Coturnix japonica: one gene and its partners. The protein of the gene in region 3 interacts with the protein of the main gene of each other region in a pairwise test. Links are inferred from orthologs where the notes say so. Each region holds a gene or a part of one and is shown on either strand. Other genes may lie near its edges. The genes, in order: MIIP, KCTD14 and STK16.

The links.
Region 1: the proteins of STK16 (region 3) and MIIP interact in binary tests that used the Homo sapiens proteins (3 or more experiments, as listed by UniProt). The two-hybrid records come from large-scale screens. The link is inferred for Coturnix japonica from reciprocal best matches to the Homo sapiens genes STK16 and MIIP.
Region 2: the proteins of STK16 (region 3) and KCTD14 interact in binary tests that used the Homo sapiens proteins (3 or more experiments, as listed by UniProt). The link is inferred for Coturnix japonica from reciprocal best matches to the Homo sapiens genes STK16 and KCTD14.

What each region holds. Positions count from the first base shown.
Region 1 is NC_029536.1:4,771,741-4,774,384, reverse strand, and holds the end of MIIP (migration and invasion-inhibitory protein), read left to right. Parts: intron 1-127; coding exon 128-235; intron 236-535; coding exon 536-583; 3' UTR 584-1,992; downstream 1,993-2,644.
Region 2 is NC_029516.1:172,671,985-172,675,738, reverse strand, and holds the start of KCTD14 (BTB/POZ domain-containing protein KCTD14), read right to left. Parts: upstream 2,231-3,754; 5' UTR 2,074-2,230; coding exon 2,014-2,073; intron 1-2,013.
Region 3 is NC_029522.1:24,514,930-24,518,217, reverse strand, and holds STK16 (serine/threonine-protein kinase 16), read right to left. Parts: upstream 2,500-3,288; 5' UTR 2,450-2,499; coding exon 2,364-2,449; intron 2,203-2,363; coding exon 1,983-2,202; intron 1,913-1,982; coding exon 1,779-1,912; intron 1,706-1,778; coding exon 1,585-1,705; intron 1,504-1,584; coding exon 1,408-1,503; intron 1,331-1,407; coding exon 1,209-1,330; intron 1,140-1,208; coding exon 1,001-1,139; 3' UTR 579-1,000; downstream 1-578. Other genes in the region: GLB1L (beta-galactosidase-1-like protein), read left to right, coding at 2,670-2,723, 2,837-3,009, 3,132-3,282. UniProt on the Homo sapiens protein: Membrane-associated protein kinase that phosphorylates on serine and threonine residues. In vitro substrates include DRG1, ENO1 and EIF4EBP1. Also autophosphorylates. May be involved in secretory vesicle trafficking or intracellular signaling.

The DNA of each region.
Region 1 (2,644 bases), on a different chromosome or scaffold from region 3:
GTTTTGCTTTATTAGAAAAAACTCTTCATACGAAGCTCAAGAAATTAATTAACCTGCCAGTGCCCCCCTGTGGAGTTGTTTTTACTTAGAAAACACTGCCATACGGAGTTCTTCTATGTTCTCACAGCATTGCCTGGTTGGCTGGGAAAATACCATTCCTTCCAGTGAGCCAAAAGTCAGCAGCTTGGATCTGCGAGCTTCATTGAAAGAGAAACCTTCTCACCATTCTCACCCGGTAAGGATAGCTTGTAAACAGTCATGGAGATGTGAATTGCATGTATAGGAAGTGTTATTCTGACTCTCTTAAGAGTATGATAGTCATTGATGGCCAAGCAAATTAAAAGGCCTGGAAGATTTTTCTCATCTCTCCAAAGAATGGTTGTTCCCTGTGCATTGTGAACTAGAAGGAAAAAAAGCGAATGGAACTGGATAACGATAACATGTAAATGAAAGCCTGTTCAGCTCCCCAACTGTTCAGCAAAACAGGAGCTGTCACTTATTTGGCATTATTTGATTAATGATGTCTTCATTGCAGAACTTGGTGTCCGGAGTGTCAGGAGGAACCAGAACTGACCAGCTCTAAACCTGACCTACTCAACGCTCTTCAGATTAAGCAGTGATTCTCAGCAGAGGGATCAAAACAAACATGGACACTGCTGAGCAGCTTCACTTTTAAATCCTGTTGCCTCAACTGTGGACCACTGACTTTGTTGGACCTGGGGAAGAGAAGGGGGCGGGGAGAGGGAACAAGTTAATTGGGTTAAAAATAAATCCTCAAACAAGGAGGTATTTTCTAATTTTTGTAGTCATATGAGCAAGCAATCCACTTACTTGAATGTACTAATTCATGGCTTTTCACTTTGCACATTTTGCAGCTACTTCTAAGCAGATGCACAAGCTTTCTTACCTAAGGCTTTATAAAGAGATGTGGACTGGACAACTAGGAGGACCATAGCAATAGATGTATATGGAGTTCATCTGCCATTTCAGTTAAGCAAACCAGAAATGCAGTGTTATCTGAGAACGCCAGGGCAAGGAATTAGCTTGTGAATGGCCTTGTTCAGTGGGAAGCATACAAATATGCTTATTTTCAAACACGTTAAGCATAACAAACACAAATTGCTAATGCCTTAAACTTGAGGTACTCAACAATGTAGTTAAAAAGTCTAGTTTATCTTCAGTGCCTGTAGCTACAGGGCACATTACAGAGTAATCATAAACCTGGAAAAGCACTTTTTATGACTCAAAAGCCTAGAAAATGCCTTAAGATATTTGCAAGTTACTCTTTCCTCTATTTTTCCAAGTTATTTTTGGAGGTTAGCAAAAAAGCTTTGTGGAGAAACAGCTTAAGAACAAAAGCAACATGTTCCGTATGGTATGATTTGTTGGAACTTCATGGTACGATCTTTCCCTGTCTAAAAATGATAAAAACAGATGTCATGTTTTGTCTCCAGTAATTCTGAAAGATAAATTCCTTTCATAAGAATTCTGGAAGTTATTGTGAAATCTGGACTAGTAATTGCGTTCGTAAGCTTTAAATCAAGTTTATTGGTAGGCGCTGGCTTCACAGAAAGCTTTGGGTTTGCACCAGTATTTTCAGCTTCTTGTCATTCGGTGTTAATTAAGGTACCCAATACTTTATAAAACAAATGTATGGATAGACTTTTTTAAGCAAGGGAGCAGTGTTGCAAATGTATGAAGTCTTACTATGTGACTGGAATGGAAAGCAAATGGCACGACTGACTAGTTATGTTTTGGGTTGAATATTTAGGATAAAGTGAAAGGAATTGGTCGCATTCTTTCCCTTAAAGCACAATCCCAAGCTATCTCTCTCTTCGTAATGGTTTTTACTATGTTCATGCGTGCTCTTTCAGATGGAGCTTCCCAGAAGTACTCGGTCTCAAAGAATATCTATTGAGATAAATTGATAGAATCATCTGAGCTGTCCCATGTGCCCTTATTGCTAATAAAACTGAAAATTTCAATTTCACAGTCGGGAGAACTTCTGCTGGTTTCCATCTTTAAATACTGGGAACTTCAGTTCACTTCCTTGGCTGAAATCTTCAGGAACAGAAAATGTGGTTTGCTTATTAACTTAGAAAATGACCTCATGGCTTTACGTATTGTCTCCAGATTTGTGCAAAGTAACTTTATATCATGATCCTTTTTGCACAAGGGATCTAACCAACGTTACTCAAGTTTTCCAGAAGAGCTTAAGCAATGTACATTTTATTGCTATTCCAAGCAGTTGCTGCATCAGTTTATCATTGATAATATTCAAACACATTTTTTGTGTGGACAACTTGTTTTTTTCTTTCCATTTGCAATTGAAATCAGCAAAGGGTTTGTAAATGGAGCTTGGCTAATGTTGTTGGTATGTGGTCCAGAATTGAGATCTGATAGTGTGACAGAGAGTAAACAGTTGTTTTTTGTTTGTTGTGGTTTTTTGACTGAGACACCTGACTGTGGGTGTGTATATGGTGGCCTCATGTTCTAGTAAGAAGGTGGTTCATGGTCAAGTTTCTCATAATAATCACTTTTAAAAATAGAACCATACAAGAAAACGAGGCTTGCTCCAATTTTGTTTAACCCACAGCTGAGCTAAATGAGTGTTTTCCCTTCGTATGTTTTCTCACAATTGCTC
Region 2 (3,754 bases), on a different chromosome or scaffold from region 3:
AACATCTAAATGTTCCTTGAATGCCTCCAAGATGGGTGACTCCACCACCTCCCTGGGCAGCCCGTTCCAGCACCTGACCACCCTCCCATGGAGGACATATGGGAACATCCACACCAAGCATTGCTAAAAGCAGATTCAGGATATTTATATTTGGCCCTTGTATCCAGATCAGAAGCATGGATGTTCCTAAAGGGATTCACCCTCAACACACCTTTAAGACATAGGAAGGAGTCATTTTGCTGGTGTCTGAGGTGGAGCACAAAGTCTGTTTATCTGTGCATTTGATAGGAGGAAAAGAAAATCATAGAATCATAGAATGCTTGGGCTGGAAGGGACCTCAAAGGTCATTGTGTTCCAACTCCTCTTGCTGCAGGCAGTGCTTGTTGCCAGTCAAGCACTAGATCACATTGCCCAGGACCCTACCTAGCCTGGCCTTCAACACCTTCAGGGACGGGACAAAATAGTTTATGCAACTGATGTGGATTTAAGAACTAAGATTTAATGTTTGGCTTTTTATCTCTATTTTATTTCACTGTGCATTAATGCCATTGCTATTTGAAACGTGAGAGACCTGAATGCCCAGAGAGCTGGATCTGGTGTCGCTTCTGATGACACTCCTGACTCAGTTCAACGCTGAAGAGTTTTAACAGCCTCCTTTGCATTTTTTGGTAGAGCAGGAGGAGAAGGAAGAAATGAGGCAGTTCTTTCCCTCACGCTGCCAGTCCTGTAATGCAAGTCATACGCCTGGCCAGGACCGCACCTGCCACTGGGAAGGCTTGAGTCAATAAACAACCATTTTCTCCAGGAGCTCACCTGTTCTTTCTTGGACCTGATCATACAATGATCTGCTTCAGTGCTACCAGTCACATGCTTCAGTATGTACCAAAGAGCTTAGCTGGATCCAGCCTGTGGTGCCCTATGGGTCGAGATGACGTGAACTGATCTCACTGTTACACCAGGACAAAGGGGAGGCTCCTGCTGCACTCTCCACTTCTTACCTTGTGCCAGCTCTGCTTCTCCTTCATTTTAGCAAGCTGAAGTGGCTCACAGAGGATTTAACTAGCATCAGAGCTAGCAAAATGAGGGGATAGGAGCAGAGCAGAGGGAGATTATGTCTTTTAAATGACTGCAAGCTATAAGGTTTAGCAGCTCTGAGCTCAAAATGTAGGGAAGCCAGGGACACAACAGGAGATTCAGGCCAAAGTCCCAGATGGAATATTGCTTTGCTCTAATGTAGGTGGCTTCATCTCCAGGGCAGTTATTTGCACCAGGGCCAAGAGAACATAAAACGTTTCTGTCTGACAGTATCTAGTGATCTCTACCCATTAAAGAGCATGGCCCAAAGCTGTTTCTATAGCAAAGCCTCTCAGTTAGGAAATCTGCCATTAGTCCAAGTGATAACAACAGCTTTCCCTGTTAGGTATCATTTGTCAGGAGGGTCTTATCCTTTTGAGCCTCTTGTTTTTAAGATGGAAGGTCAAGGGAAACCAGTTACTAATAGAACCAGGGGAGGAAAAGTAAAATGTTGCCTGATTTCTGATTTCTCCTCAGTAACAGGTCCCTTGTTTTGTGGTTGACACTAATTTTCCTTAAAGCTAGAAAAACTACCGTTCCCAGCTGGTAATTCTGCACACCTTAAACACAGAGCAAGTTACTCATCGTTGGAGACCACTGAAAAACCCCTGAGCTCACAACAGGCTTTTATTTAAGGATATGGCAAATTAAACTTAACATCAAATTCACTTCATAGTCTTCAAAGGAGAAACCAGCGAGGTTGTTTGCTGTAGCTCTGTGTGCCTCCAAAGGACACAGTCTTGCTGGAACCAGGCTGGTGCAAACAGGTCAGAGTCAGACACAGCTTTTCACCTAGAAAAGCACCTTGCTCACACACCTGGCAAGCCCCTGTGCCTTCAAAGTATCAGATGGGTGAGAAATAACCGCTGTAACTAACCCAAAGGGGATGCTCTGATCCCAGAAGAAGGAGCCATGCCCCCAAGCCTGCACCGTACTCACCATATGCAGGCTGCCAGTGACCTGTTTCCTGAGGGGTTTGTGCTCCGAGGAAATGCTCATCTCCCCTCGCTGTGTTCCAGTCCTCTTCCACCAGATTCTCCTTGGGTGAGTAAGGATCCTGCCCAGCTGCTGCCCCACAAACTCTGGATTGCCCCAAGCACAGTGCAGCCTGCAGGTCTGACCAGAGGGGAGGGAGCAGCACGGAAGCGGAACTGTTTGCTCATTAGTTTTCCAGCAATCAGCAAAGCAGCAGGGCGGATTTGGGCTGGCTGCCGTCACACACTCACCTGCAGATATCTGAGAGCTGAATCAGCCCTTCCAAAGGAGGCCCACAACCTCTGTCTGGGTTGGATGAAAACCTGTAACACCTTCAGTGCTTGTTGGTGTCTGCAGGCTGCTCTTTTAGTCACACAGCATCCCAAACCATCTCACTGATCCCACTGTTGTGCCTGGCAGTGTCAGAGCAGGTTTGGAATAAAGCTGGAAGATTTGAGTGTTCTTAGCCTTTAATTCCTGCAAATCCCATTCATTCATCTTCCTCATCCAAAACTATCCTGCACATGACTGACAGAAGTGGAACCCAGACTCTTTTGACACAGCACGTCTTGAGTGCTGGAGGTAACAACCTTCCCTTTTGCAGCTACAGAACTGGATGGATGGATGGATGGATGGATGGATGGATGGATGGATGGATGGATGGATGGATGGGGTGTGGACAATTGCCCTCTACCACAAACCAAAGGTGACTGATGGTGGTTGATAACAAACCATCAGTGCTGTGCAATGCAGATCCTTACATCAGCACAAGAAAGAGCTGCTAGCTGTCATCTACAGCTCTTCCACCCTATAAGGCCCACCACAACCCTTTCTTCACTCTGATGGACATACTGGTCATGTTCCCCCACTCTCTCACTCCTTTTTTTCACATCCTGGACACTTTTGTTGGCACACTATAGAAAAAAAGAATTGGTATTTTGAGATATTTGGCTGGAAGTCGCCATCTGATTGTTATTATTCAGGCTGCTTCTGGGATTTCTTGATCCCACTTGCTTGAAAATGGCATTTTTCAGTCCTGCTATGCAAATTGCTCCCAGTTGGAATTTTTTTCTCTCTTTTTGTTAGGAGTTTCATTTAAAATGTCATCTGATCTAAGAAGGGACCTTTGGAAAAGCATTCTCACAGCCCAAGCCATTGGCATGCCACTACCTACCCACAGGGATTTTATGCCTTTCTTCTTGGCAGTCACACCAGAGATGGCAGCCTGGATTACTGGGACCACACATCTGATCTGTATGGTGTCCCAGCCATGGAAAGTTTTGCAGGGAAGTCATCCTTCTCTGCATCAAAGCCCTCTGGGCCTGCACTAAGTGGAAATAATCACGCTTGTAGTTCATCTCTCCTCCTTTTACCCCAGGGTCAAAGTGATGCTGAGGAAACCAGTGGGTGGGAAGCAAACACTGAAAGGCAAAAGTGAGATCACAGCTCTGGAGGGGGCTGGAGGGCTCACAGTACTCCATGCTGCTGCTATCAGCTAACTCAGGCTGGTTCAAATTCCATTCTTCCCTTGGGAGAGAAGTGAAAAGCCAAGAGCATGGATGTCTCCATAGCCTTGGGCGACCCTGTCCTGGGATTCCTACAACCCCATTGTGGCTCTTGCTCTGCACTCCCTAGGAGGCCTTGGCCACCACTGTGCTGTTTCTGGGAGGTTAGTTGGCTTTCTCCCCTAGGGGAATGAAATCTA
Region 3 (3,288 bases):
TGTCAGGTCATGTCTGAGCTCTGCAGTGTAGAAGGTGCACATTGCAAGGGCATATGGCATGGTATGAATCCCTGTGGCTGTTTCACTACTGTGTTTTGGTGAGGGGATTAAAGGAGGGGAATACTCCCTATGAAACCACTTGGCTGCTTCTCTTTCTTTCCCTGCTGCGGGCAGCACAACTGCTGTGTGTCTGCTACACCCCTCCAGCTTCTGGTGCCATCCCAAGACTGTCTTTGCCCCCCTGCAGCAGGGCTGCTGCCCCTTTGCACCCAGGTGCTGGGCTCTGCCTGTTTCTTATGCAGCGTATGCTGCATGAGCCCCTTTCCTGCACTGCACTGCCCCCGCGGGCCTGCACAGCAGCACTGCACAGCAGGGCTCAGCTGTAACCACAGACGGATTTGTCACACTGGAGCCAGAGATTAACTTTCTCTGCTTAACGCTAATGCTGCAGCTGCATGGAGCTGTGGAGCTCTCCTCCCCTGCCATTCCCCTTCAGCAATGCCTGGCTGTGCCTGGCTGCTTGGCCCTGGCCACGTGCCTCGCTCACCCCATTTCCAGCAGGACAGAGGACACTGTGCACACCTCATCAAGAACACCTTTATTCAAAACACAAGGCAACGTGGGTGTCAAGGCAGCGGGCACTGAGCCCCACCTGCCCTCACCTCGTTCCAGCAGCACATACTTTGGGGCAGGAGAGACCTGCCACCCTGTGGGCTCGGGGCGGGCAGCGAGGCCTTGCCCTCAGCAACAGGGCACGTGTGCCAGTCCTGCAGCCTAGTGCTGGCCCGTTTGGCCCCAGCAGCCATGCAGACCCCAGCGGTCGCACAGGCCCCAGCGGCAGCGTTCAGGGTACAAACCACTGCACTGCACACCCCCAAACGACAGTCTGACTCCAAAACACCTCCAGGATGGAGCAGCTCTCCCCAGGGCACAGAAATCCCCCCAGGGGGAAGCAGGCCCAGGGTAGCCCAGCACAGCCTAGGCCAGTGATGGGCCACGTTCAGATACTCGTGGTGATCTGGCCGGCTGGTGTAGCCTGCAGCCCCTCCAGCTGCTGTAGGATGTCCTCAATGCTGGGCCGTTCCTGGGGGTTCACTGTCATCATGGAGGAGAGCAGGCGGTGCAAGGTGGCTGAGTACCTGTGGGGAGTGAGGGGTCGGCATGGCCCCGCCATGGGGAACAGGGCCCACCCAGCTCCAGAGCCTCACCTGGAAGTTGTGGGGATGGTGATGGGGTTCTGCACCGCTAGGGCCACACTGTCACCCTTCTGGAAGATGGCATCGTAGGGGCCCTCCCCGAACATCATGCAGTACAGCACGCAGCCTAGGGACTGCAGAGCAGCCATTAGAGTGGCCATTCACCCCATAGTATGGGGGGAAAGAGGGGGGGCAGTGGCTGCGTCCTCACCCAAATATCCGTGCGCTCATCAATGACACACTGGCTGGGCACCGTGAAGAGCTCAGGGGCACGGTAGGAGATGGTGCAGCGCTGGGCAGCCCAGTCCTGCAGAGAGGCAGAGGGGACGCAGGGCTGGGGGCAGTGGGACGATGTCCCCCCTCAAACCCCCCCAGGACAGGCACCCACCTGCACAGCCAAGGCCTCCCGAGAGTTGGTGACTTCCATGCGGGCCCGGTTCATGGAGCCCAGGTCCATGAGAATAGGCTGGTCGTCCTCATCCAGCAGCACGTTGGTGGGCTTCAGGTCCCTGCAGTGGGAGGGGGACGTCACCAAGCGCCCACTAGAACCCTGCTGCCCCCAGCCCCAGCCATGGCCCCCACCTGTGTGCGTAGCCCTTGCTGTGGATGGCCTGCAGCCCACTGCAGATGCCATGGAGGATGAGAAGGATGCGCTGCTCCGGCATGAAGCTTCCTTTCTCCCTCAGTGCTTCCACCTCGCTCCATAGGGTCCCCCCCTGGCAAAGACACGCAGCGTGCACTCACCGCAACCCTGCGTGGCAATGGGGCTGGGGGCCACCCCCTCACCTTCACATAGGGCAGGAGCAGCCAGGCTTCGTGCTTGGCCCCCTTCTCCACCATGCAGTGTGCCTCCAGGCGCAGGATGTTGGGGTGCTGGAACAGGTTGTGCATCTCCACCTCGCGCAGGGCCGCCTGCCGGTCCTCCTTGTCGTGGCACAGGATGCGTTTCAGCGCGTAGAAGCGCCCGTCCCGCAGCCCCTCCACCAGGTCCACGTAGCTGAAGCCCCTGCGGGGAGCAGAGCCCGAACATCCCCTCCAGCCACGAGCATCTCTCCCCAAATCCTGCCTATCCATCCATCCATTCCGTGCCCCAAACCCCCTTATACCCAACATCCCTCGTGCCCCCGGTGTTCCCCCCGTACCCCAGCCCCCCCAGCCCCCCGTTACCCCTCTGCCAGGCGCTGCAGCAGGAGGTACCGCGCCCCCCCCACGCTGATGGTGCCCCGGGAACAGACGCACAGCGCCTGCCCCATCGTCCACGCGCGTCATCGCCCGCCGCCGCGCGTCACCGTCGCGTCACCCGTGGGACCGACGGGGCGGGACCTGGCTCTAGTGGGCGCGTCCTGTCGCGAGGGGCGGAACGCGGTGCGGGGGGCGGTCCCGTTCGGATCCTCGCCCTCATTGTGCGCTATGGGCCGTGTGCCGGTTCCTTCGCCCGTTCCGCACCGTCCCCCCGGCCGCTGAGCCGCGGTCATGGCGCTGCCGGCCCTCGGGCTGCTGCTGGCGGCGGCGCTGCTGCGTGCGGAGGTGGGTGCGGGAGGGCGGCGGGTCGGGGTCCCGTTCCCCTTTCCCCCCCCCGCCGTTGACCCGCTCTGTGTTCGGAGAGGTGCTGCCGCCCCCAGCTCTGTGCCGTCCCGCAGGCCGCCCCCCCGGTGCGCTCCTTCCAGATCGATTTCGATCGGGACTGCTTCCTCAAGGACGGGGCCCCGTTCCGCTACGTGTCGGGCAGCGTGCACTACGCCCGTGTCCCGCGGGCCGCCTGGCGAGACCGCCTGCTGCGGCTCTACATGGCCGGGCTGAACGCCGTGCAGGTGTAAGTGAGCCTGGGGGGTCACCCACGCGGGGCATCCCACGCCTCTCCTGCCCGGTGCTGTGCGCGGAGCTCCGCACCCCGCAGCCTGCACCGCCTCGGGTTGCCATCCCCTTCTCCCCCAGCTACGTGCCCTGGAACTACCACGAGCCGCAGCCGGGAGTGTATGACTTCAGCGGGGATCGGGACGTGGAAGCCTTCCTGGACCTGGCGGCGGAGCTGGGGCTGCTGGTGATCCTGCGCCCGGGGCCCTACATCTGCGCTGAGTGGGAGATGGTGAGT